4 linked regions of the Lepisosteus oculatus genome follow. The protein of the gene in region 1 purifies or fractionates together with the protein of each later gene. This does not show direct contact. Links are inferred from orthologs where the notes say so. Each region holds a gene or a part of one and is shown on either strand. Other genes may lie near its edges. The genes, in order: si:ch211-140b10.6, polr1e, uxt and polr2l.

What was found.
Region 2: the proteins of si:ch211-140b10.6 (region 1) and polr1e purify together in Homo sapiens (affinity purification with mass spectrometry; 3 studies listed by BioGRID and IntAct, with this or other methods). This does not show direct contact. The link is inferred for Lepisosteus oculatus from reciprocal best matches to the Homo sapiens genes POLR1D and POLR1E.
Region 3: the proteins of si:ch211-140b10.6 (region 1) and uxt purify together in Homo sapiens (affinity purification with mass spectrometry; 3 studies listed by BioGRID and IntAct, with this or other methods). This does not show direct contact. The link is inferred for Lepisosteus oculatus from reciprocal best matches to the Homo sapiens genes POLR1D and UXT.
Region 4: the proteins of si:ch211-140b10.6 (region 1) and polr2l purify together in Homo sapiens (affinity purification with mass spectrometry; 4 studies listed by BioGRID and IntAct, with this or other methods). This does not show direct contact. The link is inferred for Lepisosteus oculatus from reciprocal best matches to the Homo sapiens genes POLR1D and POLR2L.

What each region holds. Positions count from the first base shown.
Region 1 is NC_090700.1:5,625,075-5,632,407, forward strand, and holds the start of si:ch211-140b10.6 (protein POLR1D), read left to right. Parts: upstream 1-4,321; 5' UTR 4,322-4,612; coding exon 4,613-4,638; intron 4,639-7,333.
Region 2 is NC_090696.1:67,217,342-67,224,930, reverse strand, and holds the start of polr1e (DNA-directed RNA polymerase I subunit RPA49), read right to left. Parts: upstream 3,017-7,589; 5' UTR 1,958-3,016; coding exon 1,882-1,957; intron 1,422-1,881; coding exon 1,318-1,421; intron 867-1,317; coding exon 790-866; intron 526-789; coding exon 440-525; intron 172-439; coding exon 113-171; intron 1-112. UniProt on the Homo sapiens protein: Component of RNA polymerase I (Pol I), a DNA-dependent RNA polymerase which synthesizes ribosomal RNA precursors using the four ribonucleoside triphosphates as substrates.
Region 3 is NC_090697.1:76,549,201-76,556,994, forward strand, and holds the start of uxt (protein UXT), read right to left. Parts: upstream 3,017-7,794; 5' UTR 2,972-3,016; exon of another isoform or gene 2,925-2,971; intron 2,622-2,924; 5' UTR 2,597-2,621; coding exon 2,511-2,596; intron 1,477-2,510; coding exon 1,395-1,476; intron 992-1,394; coding exon 924-991; intron 464-923; coding exon 356-463; intron 1-355. Other genes in the region: ER membrane protein complex subunit 3, read left to right, coding at 4,096-4,250, 4,808-4,865, 5,301-5,394, 5,655-5,759, 6,125-6,206, 6,627-6,706, 7,264-7,346. UniProt on the Homo sapiens protein: Involved in gene transcription regulation. Acts in concert with the corepressor URI1 to regulate androgen receptor AR-mediated transcription. Together with URI1, associates with chromatin to the NKX3-1 promoter region.
Region 4 is NC_090716.1:896,243-903,679, forward strand, and holds the start of polr2l (DNA-directed RNA polymerases I, II, and III subunit RPABC5), read right to left. Parts: upstream 3,006-7,437; 5' UTR 2,908-3,005; intron 778-2,907; 5' UTR 653-777; coding exon 558-652; intron 1-557. UniProt on the Homo sapiens protein: DNA-dependent RNA polymerase catalyzes the transcription of DNA into RNA using the four ribonucleoside triphosphates as substrates.

The sequences.
Region 1 (7,333 bases):
GGGAGAAGAACAAGGCTGTGTGAGGGCTCCTCCTTTGCAGAGCAGATGACAGATATCTTTGCTGTAAGGTAGTCTGAGCACTGAACAGACCGACTCTCGGATGACTTCTTTCTCCTATAACAGCATTGTAGGCACCCAGACTGTTTCTAAAACTCCCGGTTTTAGAAACTTCTGTCGTATAGTTGTAAAAATACTTTTCTCATATATTTGTGGCATGCAGTGATGTGCTATTTGGAGAATGGAGAAAGGAATTTTACTAATATGTAACATTTGCTTAGCTCCCTTTTAGGAAGGGATTCAGTCCAATGTAGGGGCTTTCATTTTATAAGAAGCAGATTCCCCTTTCTCTTTTACAGCAGCTCAGCTGGGGGGCTAAGTTCTGCTAAAGCTTGTTGTCTGTTTTTTTTACAGTTACCTAACCGGTAGCATAGAAAAGTGTGTCCAAGAAGACAAGAAAAGCAGCTGCCTTTAAGCGTTGACACAAATAATTTGCTTACAAGGCAACCTGGGGTCAGGACACAACTTTTATATTATAATTCTATGATTATAATTTTACCCATCTTTATTTAAATATCCACACCCCCTATTTTATTACATTAGTGCACTTACTAAAATAATGGGATACCTGATACAAATGAAACCTTGTTTCTGATACTGACAATACCAATGTTTGCCAATGTTTTATCCCCAGTGTCGCAGCAGCATGACTCCCAGAGGTCTGTGGTGACAGGATAAACCTTCCTGTGCATCCAGGCGAGCAACAAACATTTCCTTTTCCAAATTTAGCATCTTGCTGTGATTTAACATATCACGCCCCCGGCTGACTGGAAAGCAATATTGGACATTAGCCTACTTACTTAATTTTCAATGATAAGTTTATTTTACTCAAAGGAATTCTTTTAGTTCCAGTCTATATTTTGCACTTTGTCAAAAATCCTTTTCACCATTCATAGTCAACTGTAGAGAAAGGAAGGTATTTTAAACACTTTTTGTTATGATATGGTTTCATTTTTTATGCCGATTCATTGGTCCGTTTCTGTAATATTATGCGTTTCAACTTGCGCTCGGTGACAGCTGCTACCCAACCTCTTGATTAGGACAATAAAGAGGAGCAAAGACACTCAGTGTACTTCGTAATCAATAATCATTAAGTCTAGCCATTTTTCACTTAGAAATTTGATTGCTTTCGCTTTCAGAAGGCAGCCTCTAAGAAATTAATTTAATAGGTTTAATGAAAATGAATAGCTGAATCCTGACTGCAGTCTGATGGGGGAAGAGTAGCACAGTAAACATAAATCTGGCTTCCAGATTCCAGCTATGTGGTTTGCGAGAGACAGCTACCATTAGGGCAATCCGGAGACAAGGAGTCAATCAATCCCACAGCATCAATAACTGATGCAATAAACTGTCTTTAATAGTAACGATGGACATTGATCTTCCAGATACCTTTATCCCCAACAACATATTGAGACAACAGAGGAAAAGCTGTGCTCAATAATGTGCTCTGCAGAAGAATCACAACAGGATCCTGGCTTTACATACTCTCCTAGACATTTTGCATTGTTCTTCTCCTTTCACTCAAGTGCTTTTCCATCTTTTGCAGAAACACACTCCTACGACGATTTTCAATGGAAACTGAACCCAATTTTTTAATAGCTAATAGTTCATCCTGGGAGATCAATGAACTGTAGCATAAAAAGAAGTTTTCTCAACATAAGGGATGTGAATAGAGCACCTGACAAAGGTGATTAATGATGAAGAGGACCTGACAAAGAGTGACTTAGAACTGACTGGAACGCGTGATACCACTTTCATTGCTATTAGAGATGATTTATTGCACTTCGGACCCCTTTGATGTACCACTGCGTACAGTGGGTCTGTGCAGGAAGCAGGATTACAAGACTCATGTCCTCATTAGCATTCTGAGCCCAGAACACTCTTGTATACGTTCCAGACCTCCAGCCCTCTCTCCTTGCCACCCCCTAGCAGCTCCAATGTCACCTGAGATCTCTTTGACCAGATAAAGCCGATGCAGGGAGCTACCCAGCCCGGCTGTTCAGACGGCCTGCCCTCAAAAAACTGCTCTGCCTTGATCGCTACAGGAGGCTTCAGGTGGAAAGGTCAGTGGAAAAGACACATGTTGGCAAAAGAGGAGTGCTGAGCTCCTAGAGCCAAAGAGCCTGACAAGTGTTCCACTGCTTGGCACAAGGTCACGCTGCAAAAATGCGTTTTGACTCGCACAAACTGGAGAAAAAAAAAAGCATTTGTTCCTCCAGAACAACAACCTATTGTGGAATGTTATGCTTATGGGTAGCAGCGGAGGTTCTTTCGCAGGGTGCTTCTTTGTGATAAAACAGCGTACCACGCCGTCAAAGCTCGGCTGTGACAGCAGCAAGGGCAAAGATTCTGAAATGAAACCAGCCTTGTATATCAACAGCCTGGTTTTCCTGGCTTGTTCTTCCCCTACATTATTGTGCAAGGTTCAACTCTGAGCGGAGTAAAGCAAGACTCAAGACAAACCACCCGGCCCAAGCTTCATGCCAGGCTCTTCAGAGAAACAGGCATGCAGTTTGAATTTAAACACCAGTTTGTGTAAGATCTGTTTTACAACTGTCACACAACCTACAAATTACTTTGCAGCTGTAGCTCGATGCCAGATAACTCCAGCGAGTCTCTCGTTCTCCCAGGGAATCTGTTACTTTTACTCTAAATCCACGCTGCATGTTGGAGGAATCCGGCGGAAATGGTCACTGGGTTTTCGTCTAGTGTTAGTGGACACATGGGGCGTCTGTCCACACGAACAGCCTCCTCACATGCCCACAGCTGCCTGTCCCCATAGAGACCACTGCCCTGCGGACACCAATCTGCCCTCTGCACCCCGAGGCTCCAATCCGACACAAGATGTCTGACCTCTGTCCGCGCTCCTCACCACCCTGTAGGACTGCGAGAGAGCGCAAACTGCCAGGACTAGGTCGCTAAATCTTTTAACACCACATCAGTGCAACTGTACAGAGCTTGAAATGAAAAATACCATTATATAAGCCAGAACATATATATATTGCATCTGGTGCACTGACCTGAAAAGCCTTGGAGTTCAATTCATCTTTTATAGTCTCTGTGCAAGAGCGTGCACACTATACACTGGGAGCACACTATATTTCAGAAAATCTAGGCCACACTGTGTGTAGCATGCAGGCTTGCATTTTACACCTCAGATAAATGACACAATTACCGCACATTTTAAAACACAGACAAATTATGACTGCTATAAGGTGTGCCCAGCGTGTGCTTTTCATGCATCATGAATTTCAAAGAACGCTGATCCTCCGAGCAATTCATTCGCGGCACCAGGCTGCGACTAGACAATGCCGTCGAAGTAGGGAAAGCGAAGTCCACCAACAGTTATTGTTCTCTAGGTGTTGCTTTGTTCACACAAAGTCGTTGTCATTCTCCTTGAAACTCAAGGGGTGCCCCCACCGTGGCTGGATGACAAGCAACCAACGCAGAGGAAAGCGTGCACTGAGTCCGCCGTCTCAGATCTGTCAGCAGGAATGCCAGTGAGGAACCGGGGAATTTGATACAGATGGCGTTTAACATTGAGCACTGAAATCGATATTTCGTCTAAATGTCTTTGTTACCTACTATGTTCGCTGCTCGTTTAACCTATATACTGTACGGCAACAAAGAACTGTACCTCAAATCATGGACACATCTTTGAAAGTGCTCACTGTTCATAGCAGACTGTACAGCTGTTTTCTACGGCTTGTCACCTAAGCGAAGCATCCATCACGTTCACTTAAAGAAAGGGGGTGTAAGTAACACATGCAGATCATGTATTATCAAATAATATCCGCCTATTGACAAGCAGTACAATTTACACTACACTCCCCAAGAAGAGTACGATGAGACACTTTGAAAAAATTCACGTTTTTTTTTCTGTCCTCCTGAACAAAGTAACTATTTCGAATCGTGGCGGAGGCGGCGACATTCTTATTTTAAAATTTTAAACGCATACCGGACGAACAAATGAATACCGCAGTACATTACCTATTACAGCGTGCCCACCACCCCCTCTTCGCCGCCGCCCTTCTGTGAACTCCAGCTCGGACCTGGGACAATTCTGCGGCTCAATCAAAACTCACTTGAGCCACACAGGGCACGACCGCACGGCGGACTGACGCCCTCGCCGCCTACCGGGGGAGGAGAACCGCCCCACCCGCCCTCCTGCCCAGAGCTCACCGGAGAGGGGCGGGGCCGGCGTGATGTCATGGTAGCAGGAAGCGCCCTGCACCCCCTCACAGCGCCTGACTCAAAACACAGCCGCCTCGGTGCTTTGCTAAGCGATCGCTCCCCGGAGCACCGCCTATTCATGGCTGCCGCACCAAGAAGTCGCTTTAAAAAATGATCTGAGCGCCACGTAGGCCAAAGAATGCTTTTCTGCGATCACTCAGTGCGATTTTAGCGCTGGCGACGCAGTACGGCATCTGCGAGGGCACCAATCGCGGAGGGGTCCTACTGGTCCTGGAAGCTCTTGTTTAGGAAGTTGGAGCAGACGGCGTTGAGTGCTGTCGTTTCGTTTCGTCTCGTCTCGTCTCGGCGTGTGGTATTTGAAATGGAGGAGGATCGAGAGCTGGAGAAGTGAGTACAGCGGTGGAAAATGTCGACAGATTTGAACATTAAATGTTGAAACAGCGTGCTGGTTTCGAAAGAGTTGGAGCCGCGGCCGCTGGTTGTCGGCTGAAGCAGGTATCACTGCGTACTGTGCTGATCACGGCATCAGTACCGCTTCCTTAATGTGCTGTAATTAATGCTTCCAATGACTTTAATATTAATACGAGTAATTCGAAATAATCAAAAATCATTAACGAAACACTTAGTGAACTATTGTACTTGCAGTTAGCGCTTTACCATATATCAGTTTGTTTACAACGGAATAAATTACTAGTAATACCACCCGAGAGCTTGTTAATGTTGCGTTCTTCAATTCTTAACACGTTGAATGAACTGGCTGATCTGTTACTGTGTTGTTGATCCTTGCTCATTTTATTATAATACTCTAATAAAATATTTTACTACAGGACTAACCATACCGATCGTCTGAACTTATTAAATACTCACGTTAAAAAAAACGTCCTGTGCATTGCTCAATAATTCAATGAATTTTCTATTACACGTGTAATAGGAGAACATACTAAAAGGTTGAGGTAAGCTGTTAGTAACTATACATGTCTGATATGTATCGCACACTACTATGATCACCGCTCGGAAGCTGGCGAAGATCAGACATTTTTTTACGTTGTCACCTATTATGGGTAAAACCACAGTTTTGTACAACATTAACAGTCAAAACTAATTAGACAGTTTCCATGGAATGAAACTAAGAACAGAAGTTCGTTACAGTCTTAAGAAGTGGAATTTGGAAGATCATTAATGATATGTAACAGATTTTTTTCGAATTATTTTTTCAGCAGTTTTAGTGCATTTTTTAAGAGAAGAATGAATTAATATAAAGCTGTAGAGAATGTAGTGTATATGTTCCTGAAAACCTGCTGCTGATGAAGTTTTTTCACTTTAGATCAATGGTGCTTCATATCATGTTTGCTGTACATGCTAATTTCAATTTGGCATGCAGCTGTGAATAGATTTCTCTTTTTTTTTAAGAAGGAATGAGTAAATTATATTATTATTCCATATGGCAATCCACCAAAACAAACTTAGAAAAGAACTGCTGACAAGAGCAGATGTAGCTGTCAGAGCACAGATTCTGCATTTCAAAGGGCAAAGATGTCAGGGCAAAAGCTCATTATGAATTTTTCATTGTAAATATAGTCCTTGTGGTGGTTTAGAAAACATTATAATTATAATTATCCCATATTCCTGACTTTTCGGTGTTTATACAGCTCAGTATAAAGTAGTTGACTGCTTGCCAGGCCAGAATGATTTAATACTGTAGTTGTTAAATGTTGCCACACTAGATTAAATGACATGTTTTCCTTAAACCTGATTCATAAGTAGGGGTGAGAGAGAATGTCTTGGGACTCCCAGAAGGAAGCTTTGTGTTCTGCTTTTCGGCTGTTTTTGCCACAGCAAGCACTTCATAGGTCAGTCTTGGAATTACAGCCCTCTAGCTTTGTGAAGCAAAATTTCAATTCATAAAACATTTCTACTTGTCAAATTAATTGTTACACATTGATTGCAGTATCGCAGTAAATACGGAATTGTGATTTGCTATTAAACCAGTTTAAATTAGTGTTAGGTGTGAATTTATTCAACGCTTTGACCCGCTGGCCAGTCAGTAGCACCATTCCTGATATTTGACAGTGGCCGTTTGTTTGACACATTTCCTGCTTCTACTCAATGAAAACCTGCCATCCAGCACCTAGTGCGCCATTTTTATTGGTCGAAGTTTAGATTTATTCTGAGAGGCGGCCATTTACACCTGCATGATAAGCTGGAGTGGTCTGGTAACACTGACGCCCTGTACAAGAAAGGTCAGAGCCAACTCTATTTTCTTAGGAGACTCAGGTCCTTTGGTGTGTGTGGAACACTGCTACACATTTTTTATGAATCAGTGGTGGCGGCGGCCATCTTCTACGCTGTGGTGTGCTGGGGCAGCAGCATCATGACAAAAGATGCAAATAGGCTCAATAAACTCATCAAGAAGGCTGGCACTGTGCTGGGGATGAGCCTTGACCCCATGGAGGTGATGGCTGAGAGGAGAATGCTGACCAAGCTCACAGCCATCATGAACAACACCTCTCGTCCTCTTCATGGGACTGTTACTGGGCAGCGGAGCACATTTAGCAATAGACTGCTCCAGCTACGGTGTTCAAGGGAACGTTTCCGCATGTCTTTCCTGTCTTTCCAGCTGTCAGGGTGTATAACGCTGCCTTAGGCTAGGACTGTTAGCCCTTCATTTGCTCCTCTATGGACAGCATGTTTGCTCCATTGTACGTTTTGGACAATCAGTCTGTATAAACCTATGCACATTTTGCACATATTTTATTGTTTTTACAGTGACTATGATCAGCACATTTTGCACACACCTATGTATTTATTTTTATTTATCTTGTTTGTCTTTTGTTTTATAACTATTCTGATGTCTGTTTTGCTTGTCTTGGGCTGGACTGCTGTAACACATCAATTTCCCTATGGGATTAATAAAGTATTATCTATCTATTTAGCATTTGTACTAATTCTGCACATTTCAGAATACTTTGCGGTGAAATATAAAATGTTTTGTGGCTGTGCTGGAGTGCAATCGCAATGCTTAAGGGTGGCAGCTCACCTAGCACTGTTCAGCCATAAACTCACCCCCGCTGCCAGTGAGGGC
Region 2 (7,589 bases), on another chromosome or scaffold:
ATGGCAGTGAATATCTTGAGAAGAAACTAAATACAACCTTGCTTCCCCCATTCACAAAGCATTAGAAGCAGTCGAGTATCAAGAGATCAGATCACTTTAAACACTACAGTACCTTTTCTCTGTAGGACTTATTCTTGTGCTCCAAGGCGTCAACTTCAGTTACAGTTTCACCTACAAATATGCATGCAAGCATGTAAGTATTTTTGATAAATCAGAAGGATACGCATTAGTTTTCCAAATACAGAATAGACAACTCCAATGTCTAAGAAAAAGGCTGTTAAGGCAGCAAAATCTGTCCCCGCTGCCATCGATAACTACATGGATTTTAAACGTTAGAGGTTTAGACACAACATTAAAGATTTGCAGTATGTCATATGGGAAAATAAGCGTTTTAGCAAACTAGGTGCACTACCCAACTGATTTGGAGACATCAGCATACCTGGAATTACTGGCTGCATACTGAACAGCTCCACATTGTGCACATTCATTGTCCTGGTTTTTTTGTCCAGAACACCCACATAGTACCTGGGGAATGAATACATCATGCGTTAGTGTAGCGAAAGGACACAGGTACAGTGTTTGGTCACATGACCCCAACAGAACTGTGTAGAGAAAAAGCTTCTCTCAACTTTTGTTGACTTCATGATTGCATTCTCTCAGAGTGCAGTTCTTCACTGGTCAAGAAGCACATATGTATACATCCGTAGAAATTACTTTTCAGATCCGGGACATTTTCTGAAATTTCATCAGCAAGCTTTAGGGAAACATCTTCCACCTGCAAAGACTTACTTGCAAAGTGTGTTACATTTCAAGGCTTCAGCTCCATAATTATTCCCAACGTAGCAGAGCCTGTCTGTTTCTGCAGCCTGTGACAAAACACAGGAGACAGAACCTGAGTCATCGGGATACCAATCTAATATTAACCTTCATCTATTCGTCATTTTTCAATAACTGCTTAATACAAGACCGGATCACAGTGACAAGGGAATTTACATTTTTTTAGCCGTTAACAAAATTCCAAAATTGGTTATAGAGAATGGCCCCTGCAAACCATTTTGCTATCAAATCATTTCCGATTTCAGTTTGTATATATTTATACCGGGTGGAAGCAGTTTATTTGTGGAAACTATGGAGTTTTGCTTTTTTACTCGAAAATGTACTCAAGAACATGCACATACTGAACAGCACAACAGGGTTTAAAGGGTTTAATTAAGCAATTCAACTACTTACATATTAGCGGACAACAATGACAATAAAAATGCAGTTGTTAGATTAAAGTGGGCCGATACTTAAATCTGCAACTACATTTAAACGTACCAGAATGCGCCTGTTCTTCTTTCTTGGATTGCTGAGATCAGTGTTTCTGTATAACGTGAAGTCGACCAGGTCGGCGTTTCTGAGTTTGCCATTGGAAAACTGAACTGCAGAAGAAGACGTGGGAACCAGCTATGATTAACTAAGAATGTAAAAAAACTCAGCAAGGCATTATTTCGGTCTCTCAGACTAAGACAATCACCACAACGGTCAGAAAGACTCCAGGTTTACACTATAATCGTCTACACTATAATCTATCGTTTTCTTTAGTATCGATCTAGAAACCAAAGACCTTCAGGATTATACACCTAGACAACCAGAGCTGGAACTCCTTGAATTTTAAAATTAAATTAAACTTATTGAGAAGGTTTAATCATAAATTACGTTTATCCAAAATCAGCTTAAGTGTAAAACGTGCACTGACTTCACTCACAGTCGTTTTACTACCACGTGTACGACCAACATTGCAGCAGAGAAAATATATTTACGAATACGATTTTTTTTTTACAGCCGGTATAAACTGGAAGAGGCGGACTGTCTCCGTTTTTGAAGCAATTCGCGGTATACCTATTGCGGCAGGCGGCCGTTCCTCCCGTTCCTCCCGTTCCTCGTTGCAGTGTTTCCAAACATAGGAGGCTGCCATTTCTGTGCTCGGCCCTGAACCCGAAAGCGACTTCTGAGCCGGCGGGCGTCAGCGGCGCTTATAACCGACAGCGCCCCCTAGCGGCGAACTCCGGCTCTACACCGCCCACTCGGCGACAAACTGGCTTGAGTCGGGCGTTTTGTTTGCCATCGTTTGGAAGGCCTTTCATTCACGTTTCAGGTCCATACGGTTGGATGTGTTGGGATTTGTACAATACCGGGAAGAGAGAACATCTGCTTTTGTTCGGTTGTTTCAAAGCACAAATAAATAATAAACGTATGTAGTTCCATATAGGGTTCCAGTAAGGAGCTGTATTTTTTTTCCCCAACGGGTACAATACACAGCTACTATTAACAAAAAAAAACAGCATAACAACAAATGAGTTATTTTCTTAGTCTCTCTGACACTCGCACCAGGTTTTTAAAAATCATATCAACAGCACTAAAGTCATCAGATACAAAATAACATGCCAGACTTCACAAACCCCAGTCCACCATCAATCGGTCCAGAAGTTTCTAAACGCCAAAACATTACGAGGTACAGTAAGGTGGTCAGAGGAGTCAGAAACGTAAACTTCATTGACATTTGAAACCCTCGTTGAGCATCTTCTTGGGGATTTGTAGGATCGTATATCACAGGATTCGTTTTATTCAGGAAATCGCTGCTCGTTTTCCATTTTTATCAATACTCCAATCCCTCTGACTTTTTTATTTAGGTTCCCCTGTCGTGCTGTAGTGACAGTTTTGAGCCTCAGGAAGAAACGGCGGTTGTCCCGGCTTTAGCGGATCAAATACAGAGCCAAAACAACAAACGTGTGAACCGTACGACGTTGATCAAGTGGAGGATATTTATTTTTAAAAAAGTTTAGTAACCGGTCATGAATATTAAGCAGTTTCCTAATTTAGTCGAAACGCTGCTGGTGTCCAGCGTCTTTTTTATTCATGACAGGAACGTACCAAAAAACACACACACACACACGAAACACCACAAAAATAAACCCCTATCCTACTGAGTTGCAGCCCGGCTCTCAATCGTTTGGGCTGTAGCTACAACAAGCGAGGTGCTCTGTAGGTTTTTTTTTCTCTCTCTCTCTCCGGGTTTTCGCGGCTTGTTTCTCCGGCCAGTGAGAATCTGCCGCCCCGGAGTGAAATAACGGGCCCCCGGCGCTGCGGTGCAGCAGTCAGAAAACGTCACTCGTCTGGGATATTGCTTTCCCGTTCCGGTTTTTGCAGATTTGCAGGAAAAGGAGGGGAACTTTTTTTTTCCCTCTCTCTCTCTCTCACTCGCTTTCTCGGACTGTTAACCCCCCTGTTCCGGGGAAACTACTTTTGTTGTTGTTGCTGTAAATGTCGTTTTTGGACAGCGGAGGCATCGAGTCCGGGTACATGCTAGAGGGGATATCGTCGTCCTGAATCACACAAGGTAGGCTTTGCGATTCCCAGTCTATTCCCAGTTTTATCCTGGGCAAGCCTCCCCAGTGCACGGCAGCACGCAGGCGCTGGATTAACAACACAGACATCAGACAGACTGGTCCTGCAAGACAGCGAAGAAAAGGGAGGAGAAGACCCCCTTCGTGGACAGGATTTCTCTCCGTGTTCAATACATCTGAAGACGCACAGGACGGGAAAAAAAAAAACGCCTCTGTTATCCGGCCTCTCAGTTGGGCTTCATGTGATATGTTCCCAGGGGTGTGCTTTGTTCTGATCTCGGGTAAAAGGTAACGTGTGTGTGGTCTTTTTTTTCCCCCTCCTGCTGTTGTTTTTGGCCAGTGACACAGATCAGAAAATAATGTAAAGCAGACCTGTGTGAGACGGAGAGAGAGAGAGGGAGACAGACGAGCCAGACGAGGCTCCTGGATGCAGAGCCGAAAGCCTTTTTCCTGGGGGGAGGGATAAATACAAACACAAAACTGAATAATATCGTCTGCATGAGGGAGATACCGACAATTAATGGCAGCTACTGTATTCTGTTTATCTGGAAGTAAATACCTCTGTGGGTTTAACCTTTATCTACGAGCCGAACGAATTTGATCGGAACAAATCATATTATTTCGCCGTTTCAGGACCAATTTAATCTAATACGATCTGCAAACTATGCCCGCTTGCACGAAGTGATGGATCCACAAGTCCGATAGGAAAAGAATAACCGAATAGAAGTAGCTGCATATCCTCAGCCGACGGCGATGTGTGCTTTTTTTTATTTAAAATAATTGTGCCAAGTCTTCGAGATCGCCAGTCTGATTTTGCTGAATTTAACATTTTTTTGGTAATGCATCCTCAGTGTAGTGCGATATCGTTACAGAGTGCATGGTGATATCTCACAGCGATATACAGTTCGGGGGGCGAGGCTGCGTTTGGCAGACGTTACCTTGAATGAACCTCTCTCGGCTGAACTGATTGACAACACGCAGCCCGGAGGTTACGCCGGGCTCTGGGGCGCCTCTTGCTCGCCCAGAAACCCGGGGCTCCTGGCCTGACACCACATTCGCATGCTTTTGACTCCATTTGAGAGAAGGGGGCAGACTATGAAGGTGTTGCTCTTGTTGTCACAAAGCAACGCGATGTTTCAGAGACTTGGACTTGATTGCGTTTGCCCCTCATTGGGGGGGGGGAGTCGTTTTCAAAAAGTGTTTTATACGTGGAGCCAAAAACATACTTTCGACGTATGTGTGCATCTTGTCTTGGACCGGGGGGGTGACTGTAATGTAATTTGGTGGATGTGTAGCTTTTTGAAGTAAATTCACTGTGAATTCTTATCCCGTCGTTTACATAAATGGGCGAATTAAGATGTGAAAGATAAACATGATGTCAAATGGAGATCCTTTCTTTTGTGTTTTTTTTTGTATTCATGCTCTTGAGTATAGTAGCTGTTTTCTTTGCGCGGGTTGGAATGTAGAGAAACTAGCATGCAGAAGAGCTCCTGCTTATTCTTACTTCTTACCGCCTATATACCCACGAAGCAGGGTATTTCACCAGTAGAGATTGTGTAGTCCAGTCATTGTTGTAGAGAGGGTTTGTTCTTATCTGTCTAAATAAAGAAAAATATTAGAAATGTTCGGAGCCATACAGAACAGCACTGAAACATGAGAAGCATCAATCCAGTTTTTTGTGGTGAAACACTTTCCCTGATATCCAAGGTGCCCTCAGGATCTGCCTTTCCTTGAGAGACAGTATCTATTCTGGAGCCCAGGAAGAGGGTATACTGCGTTATTGCTTAATCAGTATATAAACTGGCTAGGAAGTGTCCAGAGGCCCAGTCAGGTCCACTTCCTGTTCTGGTTTGCTCCTCTCCGAGGGGAGGTGGGAGGGACGAGAGATGGTGGATCACGGAGTGTTGGGCCTTTAAGTGATTCATGCCTGTTGGCTGAGGGGATGTGGTTTGTCCTGGTCCTGAGGATTCGGAGGCACTGGAGTCTGTCTGTCAGTGAGCGTGGCGCTCTGAAAGAGTTTACTGTCTACAGTAGTTGAAAGATAAGCAGCCCTACCACATTCGTGTCAAACGGAAATTACTGTTTTTTTTTTAGAATTGAGTGTATTTTTTTTTGTACTTTTAGTTGTACTTTGTGTTTTTTGATGAGGGAGATTTATCCATTTAATAAAAGGTGGAGCATAATACAAGTGTGCAACAATTGTACAACAGTTTTAAATACAAAGCAAATAAGCCATACAGCAGTGCTGTTGTTTTCCCTGTCACTGGGCAGAGTAGCAGTGTTTTCTTTTGTTTGTGGCTTAATTACAATACCTGAATTACTGTAAATTGTTGTTTGCTCAAGAAAGCTAAATCCTTGAAGCAGCTGGAACCTTTTACAGGCAATGAACTAAGAAATCTGCAGAGTGCAGGACTAGTGATGAGACCTTTGCGTGTTACTGTTAAATCCGACATATTTCATACTTTTTCTTTCTTGTAAAACCAAAAATGCAAGATGAAAGCTGTAAAGATGAATTTGGAAACCTACAAGAGTGAGCTTTCTTTGGCAAGATATCTCCAGGTGTATTTCAATTTCAGTCACTTTGCATAGACAAATGCTGCAGATATTGAAATATTTCAAATGCTTTTTCTCTCTGGTCAGATTAATTTGTACAAGAGTGTGCGGCTCATGAAGCTCTCATCTTTCAATTGGCTGTGCAGAGGAAGTCTTCATTTCCATCCTCAGAGCTCTGCTACAGTATTGGTGGATACCAGTAGCACTGTCTGGACTGTATAGAATAGGAAAGGGCAGTTTGAACTCAGAACTAGCTATGCATCAAGGAAAGTTAGTTCTGGATAAATCAAATTGCAATTAATCCAGAAGCTTTGTTTCAATGCACTGCCTAACTCTAGGTCTGTCCCTATTCTTGTATATATTAGACCTAAAACATAATTAACTCTTCATAAAAGTCTTAATGAAAGATGAACATAGTCTAATTAATATATAGTTGGATTATGTGATTTACAAAATGTTCTAACAGTAAATGACCTTTGGAACTGGTGGCACCTCCTTCACTTGCAATAACTTACACTGGATGTGTACTGTAACTGTTTATCTGTCACTCGTATCAGCTGTGAGAAATGTGGCCCATTCTTCCTTACAGAACTGCTTGGAGCCTCCATGAACAGCTGAGCATGAACAGTTTACATCAGGTCCTTCTATATCATTTCTGTAGGGTTTAGGCCAGGATTTTGACTTGGTTATTTTTCTTCTTCTTCTGCTGTTGGTGTTATGGATCTGCTTGTATGTTCAGAATTGGTGTCCTGTTGCATGAGCTGATTTCAGCACAGCTGCAGCTGATGAATGGGCAGCCTCACAATCTCCTCCAAAATATGCCGATACAACACAGATTTCATTGTTTGTCAATGATGGCAGGTCATCTGGTCTCGAGGCAGCAAAGCAACCCCAAACCATGCTTGACATGTTGGGGTGAGGTTCTTCTGTTGGAAGACGGCTTCTGATTGTTTTTCAGTCTCGCCAGAAAGTTGTACTTTTGACATAAGTGTCCAGAGTATCTTCCTGCAGTCCTGTGGATTGTCCAGGTGATCAAACCTTTCATGGGTGACGTTAGAGAGCAACGATTCCTTCCTGGCTATGCTCCCACGAAACCAGCTCCAGTTCAGGTTTTTTTCTGATGATTGAGGTATGAACGCTGACATCAGCCGCAGAGATTCTTGGGTTTTAGTTTTTGTGACTTCCTGGATGGGTTTTTCGAGTTTCTGTTGGGAAGATCTTAGAAAGACACCCAGTCTTGAATAGAGTTATCACGGTCTTGAATATTTTCCACTTGTAGGCAGGAGGCTCACTTAGCCTGATGGGAGATGCAAGGATCTCACCCCGCTGTTTCTGACAGGGTATTGGATTCAGAAAGAAGGCTGTTTGGTAGCTTGTTCCACATTTCTCCCTGGTGTCTGGGTGAAGAAGTGCCTCCTGTTCTAAGTTTTAAATGTATTTGCTCATAGTTTCCCCTTGTATCGTATGGTTTGTTGTCACTGTTTGCTCTGAGGAAATGCACAGGATTGACAAAGTGAGCATAACTCACTGTAACCACTGCGTCTCTAGAGAGACCATAAGAAAAGCTTGTTTAAATAAAAACAAATAAATACTCATACGTATTAAATAAGGAAATTCTCTACAATCGCTTACAGGAAGTTATCTTCAATT
Region 3 (7,794 bases), on another chromosome or scaffold:
TTTATAAATAAACAGTTGAAATGCAGTGAATCCCATGCTAAGTCAGTACAACAGAATATATTTTAGGACAAGAAATTAATTAATTTAACTTATTGTCGTTCATTTAATTATTTATTCTCAATAGAAGCATGAAAATGTAACTTTCACCTCTTTATCATGCAATTAAACCAGCTCTCTGATATGCCTATAAAAATCTAATAAAAACAATACATTTTACAAGAGCAAGACAAATTCAATGCACAGAACAATTCAGAAAGAGTCCAGGTGAAAGCTCACAGATCCTGGGCTGAACTGATCACAGCCGGTAAGAGCACAGCAGAGCAGACTGCTGCCCCCTCCCCTCCCCGAGTCTTACTCTGTCAGCTGGCTGGTCTTCCTCTCTATAAACTTCAGGGCTTCGGGCAGCGTGAACTCCACAAAGAACCCGAATCCCACGGCAACGAAGATCTTGGAAGGATCCTCACTGGTCATAGAAACAAGGCAAAGCTGAGTGTGTCAACTACAGCAGACACGTGGTAAGCGAACCAATTATTCATTTAGCAATCAATACTTTGGCAGACACCTTTATCCAACGTGACCCATGTATATTTGCACAGCTGGGTGCTTCCCTGAAGGGGGTCCAAGCGAAGTACCACGCTCAAGGGCACAACAGCAGTGTCCCCACCTGGGATTCGAACCCGCAACCCTCCACTTGCAAGTGCAGATCCCTGACCACTGAGCCAGCTGATAACAGAGTGCTCCTCCTGAAGGCACGTTCCTGTTCTCTCACAGGAAATATTGACAAAAAAAGTCTATACCACTTCAATACCAGAAATCCGTTTTATTTTGAAGAACCCACTTCCTTAACAGATGTAAAAACCGGTGGTTAAGAAGCCAGGCCAGGAATCAAGACGGAAGACTCAAAACATCTCCGCTGTACTTACACATGAGCCTGGACATAAAAATTACAGCCCAGGTCCACATCCGTTTTAAGCTCCTTGCTTCCCGATTCCTGGAATAGGGAGACTGGTTTAAGAGTAAGAAAAAACAACCTAATTCACCAAATTACTCGAAACAAAAATCACAGCTGTGAGAATATATATATATATGTACATCTAATCATACATCTATAGTTCTTTATGTCAGTGATTTATGTTTTAATAAAACTGCTCCAAAATCCGAGGTGTGCTATGTGACACCTATTGGCACATAGCACATTATTAGCGGACACTATCGCTACAATGGAAATAAAATAATAGCATGAAATTAAAGAGATAGGTATTGAGATACCAGTTCACATCATTCCGAGTATATATGTAAACACTGCATTTCACGATTTCAAACTTCCCTAATGTATAACTACTGTCCTACAATATAACCCACACTGTAAAGTGAGAGGCAGGCGAGTGCTGTACCTGAAGGCTTTCAATCACGTTCTTCAGCTGCAAATACTGGGCGATCTTCTCGTAGATCTCATCTCTCTGCTCCAGCACCGTTCTGGCACAGTAACAGACAGACAGTAGTCACGGCGCCGACACGGCGACAACACTCGCCAGGTAACCCCAATGGCCGAGAGATGAAAACGATGTTCAGGGTGTTTTTACTTTGAGTTCGGGCATCTGCACCTCCTCCTCCCCGCCCCCCAAAAACCGGACCCAGGCGTCGGCTGAGCAGCCAGAAACAGCCGTGAGCCGCAGGTGACCTCGGTCTGTCGCGGGACGGGAGACCGCGAGTCTCTGGGCTCCGGGTGCGACAGATTAAATCCCTTCATCTTTCCAAGCTACAGGCTCCCGAGTCCCAGCCAGCACCCCGGGTGTCTGTGCTGTCCTGTTGACAATATCTGCATGAAGGTGAGGACTTCTGTACAACTCATCCACTGTGTGTCTGGGCAGGGCCAACATTGACTTTAACGTGCTTATGGACGAAACATTAAACTCTCTGCTTACATCTGGTTTTTCCCGTTTACAACTGTTTTTTTCTGCAATATATCTAGGGGCTTGTGCAATATATTTTTATATTTATAATGTGCAATACAACTTTCTGTTTTTTGTATATTCTGTACTGTGAGCAACTTTTTTTAGTGCACTTCTCACTGAGTGTACCGACTGTATTGTATTGTTGTATTATTGCATTACACTGTGCTCTGTTGACTGTGCTAAACTGCTGTTGCACTGCAATCTCCCTCACGGGATCAATAAAGTATCTTCTTTATTAAAAGAAAACTCTCCCCCTCTCTCAGCAGAATTTACACAAGAGCTCACAATTTCCTGAAATGCATCAGACAGCTGTACATCTGGGGGAGTGCCTTGAGCTAGAGAACAAAAGGCAAACTGTGATTTTTTTTTGGGGGGAGGGGGGGGATCACGGAGACAGGACAGCAGTTTATCCAATCTGGTGAAGCACACAGCTTCAGTTTTGCACTATATACCGGACAACTACAGCTGCGACAGGTAAAACATTGGGATTAGAACCTGCATTTAGACTATAAAAACAGAAACAAAATTCCACTCTTCGGCCCCCCACACACTTACTGCAAATCTCGCTTCAAGACCTCGTTTATAAACGTCTCGTATGCAGAGACTTTTTCTTCAACTTTCCGCCTGCCGCCCGGAGTCATCGTATAGTCTCAGCAGGGCAGGAGCCTGTAGGAGAGACGCACGGTGTGAAAATGAAACAAACACTGACATCACCCCTCGCCCGATTTACACACCTATCGTAATCAAACCCGATACAAACAGATCATTTCTCGGTGCTCAACGATATATTCCCAACGCCACGTTTTCGTTAGGCATGTCTCTCCTTGCAGAATTAATCTCGCTTTGAATGTCACCCAGATAAACCACGTCCCCTGCTTATTGAACTGCTGCTAATGCAAAAAAACATAGAAAAGCAGATGTGACACACGGTGTAAAATAGTTTTTCAAGAGGCGGAAAAGTATATAAACCTCATCGATTACTGAGATCGTGAGAATCAAGGGGAGCAAATTCATACATCATATGTTTTCATCCACTGCACGCGTCACTCATGGGCTTCCGGGTTAAATGTCAAGACGTTTTAATGTCATTTTGTGTTTTTTAAATGTGGTGTAAATAAATCCATACATTGACTTGGAAAACAAATACGGTTCGTTATCTATGAGCGTTTTTTTTAAAAAAATATATGTGTCTTATACGTGAATTTATTAATTTGCGTTACTGACGCCGGGGTCAAAGTTTAAATTCCCGTCCTTATTTTTAATTCTGGACATGTGGAGAAGTCCTTTCAGGGTTCACAGGTACCTACCTACACACTCACACGACACGGGTGTTTTTCGAGGTCCTTATCAATACTGAATAAAGTGGGATTAAAATTGCTTTCGGTGGGGGGAAATTATAACTAAATGTTTATTTCCAGCGCCGAGGGCGGAGCGGGGATACCGAACCGAGCCCCGGTCTGTGGTCGCGGAGACCCGGCTGGCTCTATCGCTGCAGGTGTTTAATGGGTGGCGTTTTTTTAATTAACAAAACCTCTGGTATTATTTCGACACAGGCCTCGGTACATATAGACGTCTCTGGCAGTGTCCCGAGTAACCCAATAGAAAACAGGCGAGTGTCGGAGCGGTTTTCGGCAGCAGCTGGGACAGTTTCACAGTTTCGCACTCGTAGCTCCTGTGAAGAGCTGGACGGGAGATTTGCTCTGATCTCCTTCGTTTTTTGTTGTTGTTGTGGGGAGTTCGTGTTAAATTCGGTGCCCACCGAACAACGTCCTCAGCTCAGAAGTCACTGAAAAGAAAAGTGTCAAACTTCTAAAAGACCTAATAAGCGACGCTAGAAAATACAATACTCATCTGGTTGAAGTGCCAAACCCGGTTGTTAAGTTGAATCTCCTTGTCATCGTTTTTTTTTTTTTTACCGTGTACCGTGTTGTTTTTACGGACGCGAGGATATCCAAGTGTTTTCTGAAGTTTCTCATATCGTTGGGTATTATTATCGCGGTCTACTGTTCTGTGGCCTACTTCTTGTAGGATAATGTGCACCCAAAAAACGAACTTCAGTGTGTTTGTGGTGTGAAGTGTTCGGGCTGTCCTTCACCTGCCGGGGCTCGTTTTCAGGGTGTGTTGACACAAGCGAGTCGCCATGGCCGGTCCGGAGCTGCTGCTGGACTCCAGTATCCGAGTCTGGGTCGTGCTGCCCATCGTCTTCGTCACCTTCTTCGTGGGGGTCATCCGACACTACGTCACCCAGCTGCTGCACAGTGACAAGAAAGTGGACCTGCAGCAGGTGTCCGACAGGTGAGCCCAGCGGATTTCATCTTTCCGGGGGCAGAATCGTGAAATGCTGCAGGAGTTTAAACAATCGTTGTTCGTAGATGTTGGTGGGAGATTTCACAATCAACTTGAAATTGACAAATCAGTGTATGGTCTCATATCGAAGTTATTCTGCAGGTGAAGTGTTGGAAATACATCAACTGTAAGATCAATTTTAGCTTATTAGCTGCGGGGAAATATTACCTGTGCAGAAGGTGTCTATAGGCCTTAAGTTATATGGGAAAGATTGGCACAGCACCAAGTGATCTGCAGCTGGGCTAGTACAGAGATTGAGATTAGTTTTGTGGCATGTGACCAGGCTCTGATCGACTGAAACAGTTGTGCAGAAGTGGCCCCGAATGTAAAAAGAGCAGAGGAAACAGGAAGCTCTGTGTCATAGCCCAGGGCACTGCCCAGCCCTCTGGTAGAGCCCTGTGCGTACCAAGCCAGCACTAAGCTTAGATAAAAGAATTAAAGTAGGACGCAATGTAAATATCAATGTAAATATTACCGCAAGTAACTTGTTATATCTGTTTTTGCAGCCAAGTGTTGCTCAGAAGCCGTATTTTGAGAGAGAATGGGAAATACATCCCCAAGCAGGTAAGAATGTTATCCTGGGCTTTCCGAGACTCTGGAGCATCCTAATGAAAATAGTTTTGTCCTTCATACTGGATTTGTGCTGGGTGCTTCCGACTCTCAGGTTAAGAGCTGATGTGAGCTACGCTTTCTGTGCTTGGCTTCAACTGAACTGGTCGTGAGAAATGCCGTGAGCTCCACTGTGTCAGGAATCGGTTGGTTATCCTCAGCTGTGTGGATCAATGATCAGAGCACTGAGAAGGTTTCAGCAGAGATGGTGCTCCTCTCTGGAATCAAGACGGTGTGGGTCTCTGGACTGGGTCTCCAGATGTGGCGGAGCTGCCCGCTGTCTGGGGAGCGAGGCTGCCCTCGTCTCGCGACGCGCGCGCCTCGTGTTCTGCGTGACGGGGTGCCGGCGGAGCTCTAGGCGTGATGCTCTCCAAACGCTTTTCTCTTCAGTCCTTTGCGATGCGGAAGCACTACTTCAACGATCCCGAGACGGGGTTCTTCAAGAAAACCAAGAGGAAGGTTGTTCCTAAAAACCCCATGACAGGTGAGAAAGAGGAACCGTCCCGTTTCGTTCGTGGTGGTGGGGGGTTGAGGTGCTTTCATTCTCAAAATACTAGAGAATTGAAGCAAACCGGGGAACCTCACACTCTGCACGCCCCCTGTCCTGAGCGCTATTTACAGGAGTTCGAACTTGGCATCGTACAGTGGGAAGAGTTATGGGGATTTGCTGCTGTTTAGTTTTGGGGTGTTGGGGTTACCTCTCACCTGGTGTGTCAGCTCCAGCCTCTGACTGGTCTTTTGCAGATACCAGCATGCTGACGGACATGATGAAGGGCAACGTGACCAACGTCCTCCCCATGATCGTGATTGGCGGCTGGATCAACTGGGCTTTCTCCGGGTTCGTCACCAGTAAGTGACTGTTCTGTTGGTCTTTCAGAAGAAATGAATGAATGCAAATGAATGTGACCCCTGCTGGAAAAAGATCAAGGTATTTCCCTAGCAGTCCACTTGCAATTCAATCAATTCAAGCTTTATTATCCTCTGGGGGGAATTTTGTTTCATGGCTGAGTCCAACTCAAGCGATACACTGCTGGACAAGTCGGGGGTGGCAGTGATAGAGAGAAAGGAGTTACCCCAGGAGGAGTTTTGTTTCCGCCTGTGAAGGGCTTGAGCTCTGCAGTCAGGGGCTGGGACATGAGCCCAGCTGTGTGCAGCCTGAAGGTCTAGCCTGCCTACTGCCCACTGATCCCCCTGTCTTCTCTCTCTCCGCACAGCCAAGGTGCCCTTCCCCCTGACCCTGAGGTTCAAGCCCATGCTGCAGCGCGGGATCGAGCTGCTCTCGCTGGACGCTTCCTGGTACGGCTTCGCACCGGTCTGCCCTCTCGCCCCCTCCAGGCCCACGGCTGCCCTGGCCTTGTTCGCGCTGTTCGTTCTGCTCTGGCTGTGAGCCTCGTGCCTGTCCTTCGCTCGGCTGGTCCCGGGTCCCGTAACGCCCCCAGGACACCACGCCGTGCGTCGGGGGACCCAGCCTTTGGAGAGGCAGCCCCTCGTCTTCCAAGTTCCCTTCCTGACCCAGTTGAAAATGCAGCTTCTGTTGACTTTTCTAAATCTAAATCCTCAATTTCTCACTTATATCTATTTTTATTGTATATTCTGCTACTGTATTTTGTATTGTGTCTTTTACGTAAAGTGCTATGAGAGAGCTCTCTATTGAAAGGCGCTGTATAAGAATAGAATTGATTGATTGATTGATTGTCCCCATCTTTTTCTGTGTAGGGTGAGCTCGGCGTCCTGGTATTTTCTGAATGTCTTTGGGCTGCGCAGCATGTACAACCTGATCCTGGGTCATGACAATGGTGAGCAAGTCAGAGCTGGATCCAAGGCACCCCTGTTTCTCTGTTCTCTCCGGCCGCTGACTAGTCCACAGAGCAGCGTGCCTTGTCTGCTCACTAATAGGAGAGATAGCTGCAGAGCTCTTTCTGTCTCGAGAGCAGATGAAAAATAACTGCTCAGCGCCAATGCAAAGGAGGCACTCAAGCACGACAATTGAAATGTTTGCTCCTTTGGTGGAGCTGGTTGGTTACATTATCCATCCATCCATCCATCCATTCATTTACCAACAGCTTTATCCAGTTCAGGGTCGTGGGGGAGCTGGTGCTTATCCAGGCTATCAGAGGGTGCAAAGCAAGATAAATCCTAGACATGGTGCCAGTCCATCACAGAGCACAGACATGCACACATACAGCTAGTGACAGTTTCCCAGAAGTCAATTCACCTTCCAGCATGTCTTTGGACCATGGGAGTGTTTTCTTGAAGGGCAAGAGAATCCCGTGTTGATGGATTTTAAAATTTGTTGAGAGACTCTGTGCTTTCTGACCTCAGTCTAAGCTGCACCCTTCAATGTCCCTTCCAGCTGCTGACCAGTCCCGCATCATGCAGGATCACATGACAGGAGCTGCCATGGCGATGCCCCCTGACCCTAACAAGGCGTTCAAGGTGAGAGAATTCTCTCCCCCCCCCCCCTTAAATTTTCTTCCAGGTCTCCTGAAAAGCCAAAGACTGGATGGGTTGAATCCGAAAATGAAAAGAGCAGATGGTGTTTTTTTTATCCTGAATAATATCCATCATGTCATGTCATTTGCCAAACCTCTTTATACCGTACGGTGTCGCAGGATGAATAATATATTGTAGCGCTCTCGGGTTCATGTGGGTATGCGCCCTTGCCACTGCCGCCTCAGGTCGGCTCCCCACCGCTGGGGACTCGAACCCGGGCCTCTGGCATCACTCAACAGGGACCCAGCCTCTCGAGCTAAAGGGAAATCTCCCATCAGCCCGGCGGCTGCGGTCTCTGCTATTCACAGGGAAGGGCGGTGACGTCACCACGCTGGTAAGTCGGCTTGCACAACCTGCAACGGTGGCCGTATGCGTTACAATATATTATATA
Region 4 (7,437 bases), on another chromosome or scaffold:
CACACACACACTCCCCCCTCAGTGTACTCTCTCTCTCACACACACACACACACTCCCCCCTCAGTGTACTCTCTCTCTCACACACACACACACACACTCCCCCCTCAGTGTACTCTCTCTCTCACACACACACACTCCCCCCTCAGTGTACTCTCTCTCTCACACACACACACACACTCCCCCCTCAGTGTACTCTCTCTCTCACACACACACACACACACTCCCCCCTCAGTGTACTCTCTCTCTCACACACACACACTCCCCCCTCAGTGTACTCTCTCTCTCACACACACACACACACACTCACCCCTCAGTGTACTCTCTCTCTCTCTCTCACACACACTCCCCCCTCAGTGTACTCTCTCTCTCACACACACACACACACTCCCCCCTCAGTGTACTCTCTCTCTCACACACACACACACACACTCCCCCCTCAGTGTACTCTCTCTCTCACACACACACACACTCCCCCCTCAGTGTACTCTCTCTCACACACACACACTCCCCCCTCAGTGTACTCTCTCTCTCACACACACACACACACACACACTCACCCCTCAGTGTACTCCGCCTGCAGGAGCCCCAGGTACGCCTCCCACTTGTTCCCCACGATCTTGCCGCAGGTGAAGCAGCGCACAGGGATGATCATCGCCGCGGAGACCGGGACTCAGGCGGGACTCAGGCGGGACTCAGGCGGGACTCAGGCGGGACTCAGGCGGGACTCAGGCGGGACTCAGGCGGGACTCAGGCGGGACTCAGGCGGGACTCAGGCACCTGCAGAGGCAAGCAGAGAGGTCAGGCCCTCGGCCCACACGACCAGCGCCATTCCTCTGTCCGAGCCCGCGGGGGCACGTCACCCCAGAGACTCCTGTGAGCAACCCCTGCAGGGCGGGGTGCACCCTCACAGCCAGGCCTCAGAGTGGGGGTGCACCCTCACAGCCAGGCCTCTGAGCGGGGGTGCACCCTCACAAGTGGGGCGGATTAACGAACAGGCTGGCATAGGCTGTAGCCTAGAGGCCCAGACTGACCAGGGGCCCCTGACTGGACAGAATTATTGTTACTGTAACGAACACGCCCCTGCTCATAACTGAGGAAGGTCTTCTTTAGCTCAGCCAGCAAGACCCGGGTTCGAGCCCAGGCAGTGAGGGCACAAGCCCCAGAACCCGAATTTGTTACGTTATTATTATTTTGTAAGGGACCTGTGGGCCCCACTGAATAGCCTGTGACTCGATGATCGGATAGATGTGTAGAAACCAAGAGATCCGAGCCTGAAGTGTCGTTCGTCCAGCCAAGCTTTACTGTAGGCCTACAAGGAGCCACAATAAGGACCACAGGAGTTATCGCAGCTCAGGGGGGATATGACTCTACATCGCCTATATACACTTTTCTCTACACCCTTCCCCTCCTGTCTTTGAGGTAGCTTTCTCAAGAAACTCCAGGACTCAGAAAGCACTTAAAACATTCCTTTCTTATCAGCGAGTTTAGTGTAAACATTCCCCACCAGGGTGTTTAGTACAGAAGGTGGGAGTTCAACACAGGGAGGGAGAAGCATCTGTGCTCAAGCCAGCCTGAAGGGTAGAGTTTAGCATGCGAATTCAGCAGGAGTTCCCAGCTCCTACCACTCTATGGGTACAGAACAACATACAGATTCTGCGAGCAGGCTCCATCAGACGCCATGGGTTTCACAGTTCAAATGTATTCCGGCGGTGTTGATATCACTGTGGTGTCGCCCTGCGGGTCACCTTGGGTGCAAGTGTACGCTGGCTCTCAGCTGCGTGGGCGATAGAGAACGTGATAGCGGGGCCCAACGGCGAAAAGCCCAGCAGGAGGGGCGCTACTGAAAAAGTCCCCAGACGGACTGGTTATTTCAAGTCTGCCGGATCGTCGTCTAGTCGGCCTGAGCCAGACCCCGACCCCAGCCAGTGCTGCAACAACTGCGGGTCATAGCTGAGCTGCAAGGAAAACAAGACAGGAAACCTTCTACAGGTAAGAACGTGTTCTGGGGGGCCCTGCTGTTTGGTTTGTGGCCTGTATCTTTCGTATCTCATCGTGGATGCAGTGTCTTGACTGACTGACTGTGTCCTGGGATTGCTGGTGTTGTTCTTGTAGAAATGCGCTCGCCCAGGGTGCTCACTGTTCTCTGCTGTGCTGATCGTGTTGTTGTTGCACGATTTGTGTTCTGATTATGCCTAAATAAAAAAACTCACATGATTTCTGCTGTCAGCTCGCTGATTGGCTGTGAAGCTGATTTATTGGTTGCATTGGTGTACTTACAGTACAGGCTATGGTTGTGTGTGTGTGTGTGTCGCGTCATACTCCGTGTGAATCGGCGGTGGCAGCCCTGACTCTGAACACATCACTGAATTATTACAGTATTTTCTCTCGCTTGTTCCTGGTACTGGGATGACCAGGGGTGTCTACACAACCTGTAGCCTAGGGGCCTCCGATCACCTTCATTCGCCCCTGCTCTCACGGGCAGGCCTCACGGGGGGGTGCATTCTCATTCTCCGGCCGGACACCCCGTATCTCCATTCCTGCCCTCAGAGGCACACGGGAGACATTTCCACACACGCGTGATCACGTCGCCATGCGGAGACGCCGCGTCTCGACAAGACGCTCATCTCGCACACGACCTGAACACAGATCTCCCCGTTTTACAGCTCGACCCTGGCAACACGTCCCTTATCACTGCGGAAACACTGTTCATCATCCAGCATGTCTGCGATCTCTCTTCCCGCTTCTCCTCCATCACCAACCAGCCACGCTGAAGCTCGTTAAAGCGACTGAAACTAGACAGAACAGCTCCCTGCAGGACCCTCGATAACCTAGACCCTAAAATAAGTGCGTCCTAACTCCCAGTTTATACGAATTAAAGATAAATAGCTCGGAATTATTGACACTCACCGTCCACACACGCGTCAACCACACTGCCGGAACAGACCACACAGCGCCGCTGCTATAAAGAGGAACTAATGGGCACAGTACTATTAATGACGCAATCGTCGGTTATTATTAATCTAAAGACCTTTCTAATAGAATCCCATATTTCCATTGCCTAAATTAAACTTTGGGTTCATAAGGAAACAGGATTATAATACGATTCTTAGCTGACCCCTATTTTCTCAATATTGGTACGTTCTGAGCAACGGTGTCCCGGTGGGTCAATTCGTCCTCAGGGTTCTAGATTTTTCCTTTTGCGATTGTCGACGGCGGATTTCTCATCCTTTCATGAGGTCATCGAGCTTTTTTCTCCCCTGCTGTAAGAGCGCGACACGATCAACGGGATTACTGCTCCTGCCGCTGCTGTTGTTACAATATTTCCCTCACTTTCGTTAATGCATTTCATTCAAAAGCTTCTAGCCTCCCAGTTAGCGATGCCTGGAATTTACACGCTACGGCCATATCACTCTGCAGCTCACAACTGGCAGCCCACTGGAGCTCAGCTGGTGTGAGCCTGGCCAGTACCTGGATGGGAGACTCCTGGGAAAGCTGAGGCTGCTGCTGGAAGAGGTGTTAGTGGGGCCAGCAGGGGGCGCTCACCCTGCGGTCTCTGTGGGTCCTACTGCCCCAGTATAGTGACGGGGACACTTCAGTCCTTCGGATGAGACGTAAAACCAAGGTCCTGACTCTCTGTGGTCATTAAAAATCCCAGGGTGTTTCATGAAAAGAATAGGGATGTTACCGTGGTGTCCTGGCCAAATTTCCCCCTGGCCCTTACCAATCATGGCCTCCTAATAACCCCCATCTATGAATTGGCTTCATTACTCTGCTCTCCTCCCCACTGATAGCTGGTGTGTGGGGAGCGTTCTGGCGCACTACGGCTGCCGTCGCATCATCCAGGTGGGGCTGCACACTGGTGGTGGTGGAGGGGATCCCCATTACCTGTAAAGCGCTTTGAGTGGAGGGGCCAGAAAAGCGCTATATATAAGTGTAAGCAATTATTATTATTATTATTTAAAGAATTTATAATGACGTCCACACTCTGTGGGGGACAGGGCCTTCTCCTGCTGCGCCCCAAAGCTGTGGAATTCTCTCCCCACGGATGTCAGACAGTCTCCCGCCCTGAGAGCATTTCAATCTGTCCTCTCCATGCTCCAACTCCTGCTGCACGTCTCAGCGATCGGCTTTCCTTTCTGTACTTTGTAACTTGCTAGTCTTAAAACTGCTTTTTTACACCCACTGTAAAGCACTTCAGATGCAACTTTTATCTTTGATTTGTTTATTGGTCTTTCGGGAAAAGCAAAGATTATGACATGGTGCCGTATACAGTAATGACCAATCAGCAGGGCTTCACAGACGTGGGACCTAATCAAACTGTATAAACCCACCCACGATCTAGAAACAGGAAGACAGGAGGAGAAGAAAGGAGATCGGAGGTGTGGAAGAGCTAACTGAAGGGTAAAGAGAAGGTGGAGGTCTTTCCGATGGCTGGCATGATCTGCAAGCTCTTCGACAAGTGTGAAATGACGTTTTCCATATGTGGCCCAGCTGCAAATGTGGATTCTGGCCTGGCAGCCCTTTTCCGACTTCCTGAAGAGCTTGCAGGTCATCCCAGACATCTTAAAGACCTTGAAGACTGTGGCTTCTCTCCTCTGTCTTGTCACTGCCTTTTTTTCTTGATGCAACTCTTAAAGGCGGACTCGAAACTGTAAAAGTTTCTGAGGATGATGATGATGAACGTGTGGGAGGGAAGAGGACAGTAATCAGGAATCGTTCCCTGCTGTGCTGTCCGGCCTCCCTCCTCCTCCTCCTCCCCTGGGTCAGGGGTCAGGGGTCAGGGGTCAAGGGGTCGGGCCACATTTACTGTGACTCAGCACTCAGCAACTCATCAGTACAATTAATCCACAGGTTTCGATCTTCCTCGTGGATTCCACTAAGATCTACCTTGTGTGCGAGTCTTGTCTGTGTGTGTCTGTGTTAGTCTGTGTGAGTGAGTCTGTGTGCCCCTGTGAATGTGTGTGTGTCTGTGTGTGTGCCATGTGAGTTGTTTCTGTGAATGTGTGTGTGTGTGCCCTGTGAGTGTGTCTGTGAATGTGTGTGTCTGTGTGTGCCATGTGAGTGTGTCTGTGAATGTGTGTGTGTGTGTGCCCTGTGAGTGTGTCTGTGAATGTGTGTGCCCTATGAATGTGTGTGTGTCTGTGTCTGTGCGTGCCCTGTGAATGTGTGTGCCCTATGAATGTGTGTGCCCTGTGAATGTGTTAGTGTGTGTGTGTGTCTGTGTGTGCCCTGTGAATGTGTGTGTGTCTGTGTCTGTGCGTGCCCTGTGAATGTGTGTGTGCGTGCCCTGTGAATGTGTGTGTGTGTGCCCTGTGAGTGTGACTGTGAATGTGTCTGTGCGTGCCCTGTGAATGTGTGTGTGTGTGCCCTGTGTGGCTCCGGCTCCCTCACGCTGTCCTGGATAAACCAGCTGGAAGAGGGATGGATGGACTATCTGATATGTCAGTGCAACACAGCTGAAGCCACAGCCCCCTGCAGCCCAGCAGTGTGAGCCTGGCCAGTACCTGGAGGGGAGACTCCCGGGAAAGCTGGGGCTGCTGCTGGAAGAGGTGTGAGTGGGGTCAGCAGGGGGCGCTCACCCTGCTGCCCCAGTGTAGTGACGGGGACACTATACTGTAAAAAAAGGCGCCTTCGTGCGGATGAGACATTAAACCAAGGTCCTGACTTTCTGTGGTTATTTAAAATCCCAGTGCGTTTCGCCCTGTTCCCCAGTGTGGGCCGGACGGGCGCGATACCCGATGTGGCCAGCAGGGGGCAGCACGACACAGCCCAGCGCTCGGGCGCGGCTGTCAACCGAGCCGACGCGCCGTGACCTCCGTCACCGCGGCGCTGCGCCAGAGACCTTCGCCTCCGTTATCAGCCCTTATCAGTCCGCTCCGCTGCTTCACGGAGCGCCAGTACAAGGGTCAGCGGTATCGCCTGACGCCGCAGTAACCCTCCCCCGCCCGGCGCCCTCGCGGGGGTGGGCTCATCCTTCGGCTCCGCGGTTCAGAGCAGCGCGTTTATTGGGGAGCTGGATTTCCAAGACGCAGGACTGAGTTCGCGTTTATGGAGATGAATGAGTAAAGATGGAAAAGCGAAGATTCTCCCTCCCTCCACCAGCAGGCTGCAGGGGCACCACACTGGCACCCCCTGTACCCCAAACCCCCTGGTACCAGCTGCACAGAGGCGTATCCCTGACTGGAGCCTGCTCGAACCCGGGGACCAGGCTGCCCGACAGCTGCTCTGACCTGAGCCCCCCCCAGCTCGGCCAGGTCTCTCGGGGACCCCAGCTGCCATTTTGGGGGGGGGGGTCTCAGGAACACAGCTGAACAGACCCCTTGGGGTTTCATGGATCTGCAGACTAGTATGGTTGTAGATGTCAGTATCGGCCCCCTGAGGACAGTATGATTCATAACTACGATTTGCTAGGATTAACGAGTCTTCAGAGCCCTAACGAGCACTCTGTGCTGGCAGCTGCTCAGGGGTTACAGAATTACACCCTCAAACTGGACAAAGAGAACGCAGGGCATCAGCTATAACAGCACAACTGGGCAACTTGTTCCACACTCCCACCACCCTCTGTGCAAAGAAGAGCCTCCTATTCTGTTTACAACGCAAAAGACAAGCCTAGATCCCCTCTCTAGTCCAGCTTTATTACAGTATTCATTTAGACAATATTGAGAAATGCCCATTGAAGCTCCTAATCTAGTGATGCTAATAACCTTTGTTTCTAATATAGAGGATTTCGTCGTGTTAACTTGCAGGGTGGGTCCTCCAGTCTGAACCCCCCTCTTCTTAAACTGTACCCCAAACCCTGCCAGCACCCCACTGTGTGTGTAGAGCTACAGTGAGTGGTATTTATTCAGGAAACAGGTCCAGCACAGTCTTTTGTGTGTTTGAGAGCCAAGCGATCACAGGGCCTGCAGGTCTGGGCCCCAGCAAGAGCAGAGGATAAGCCCAGGGACACAGCTGAAACAGGGCAGGACACAGACATTCAGGCAAACAGCAACAGATGGTGATGTGTTTGAACGCAGGGAGAGACACACAGTGGGAGAGACAGAGAGACAGTGCGAGAGACATGGAGACACAGTGCGAGAGACAAAGAGACACACAGTGCGAGAGACAAAGAGACACACAGTGCGAGAGACAGAGAGAGACAAAGAGATAGAGAAACATGGAGACACACAGTGGGAGAGACAGAGAGACAAACAGTGGGAGAGACAGAGAGACACACAGTGGGAGAGACAGAGAGAGACACTGGGAGAGACAAAGAGACAGAGAGACATGGAGACACAGTGAGAGAGACAGAGAGAGACACAGTGGGAGAGACAGAGACAGTGGGAGAGACAGAGAGATGGGGTAGAGAAAGGGACAGTTTGTCCACAGTGTGGAGTTGAGATGTTCTCTTGCTTATGTCACTCCAGTGCTGGGATCACTGTGATGTCATGACATAAC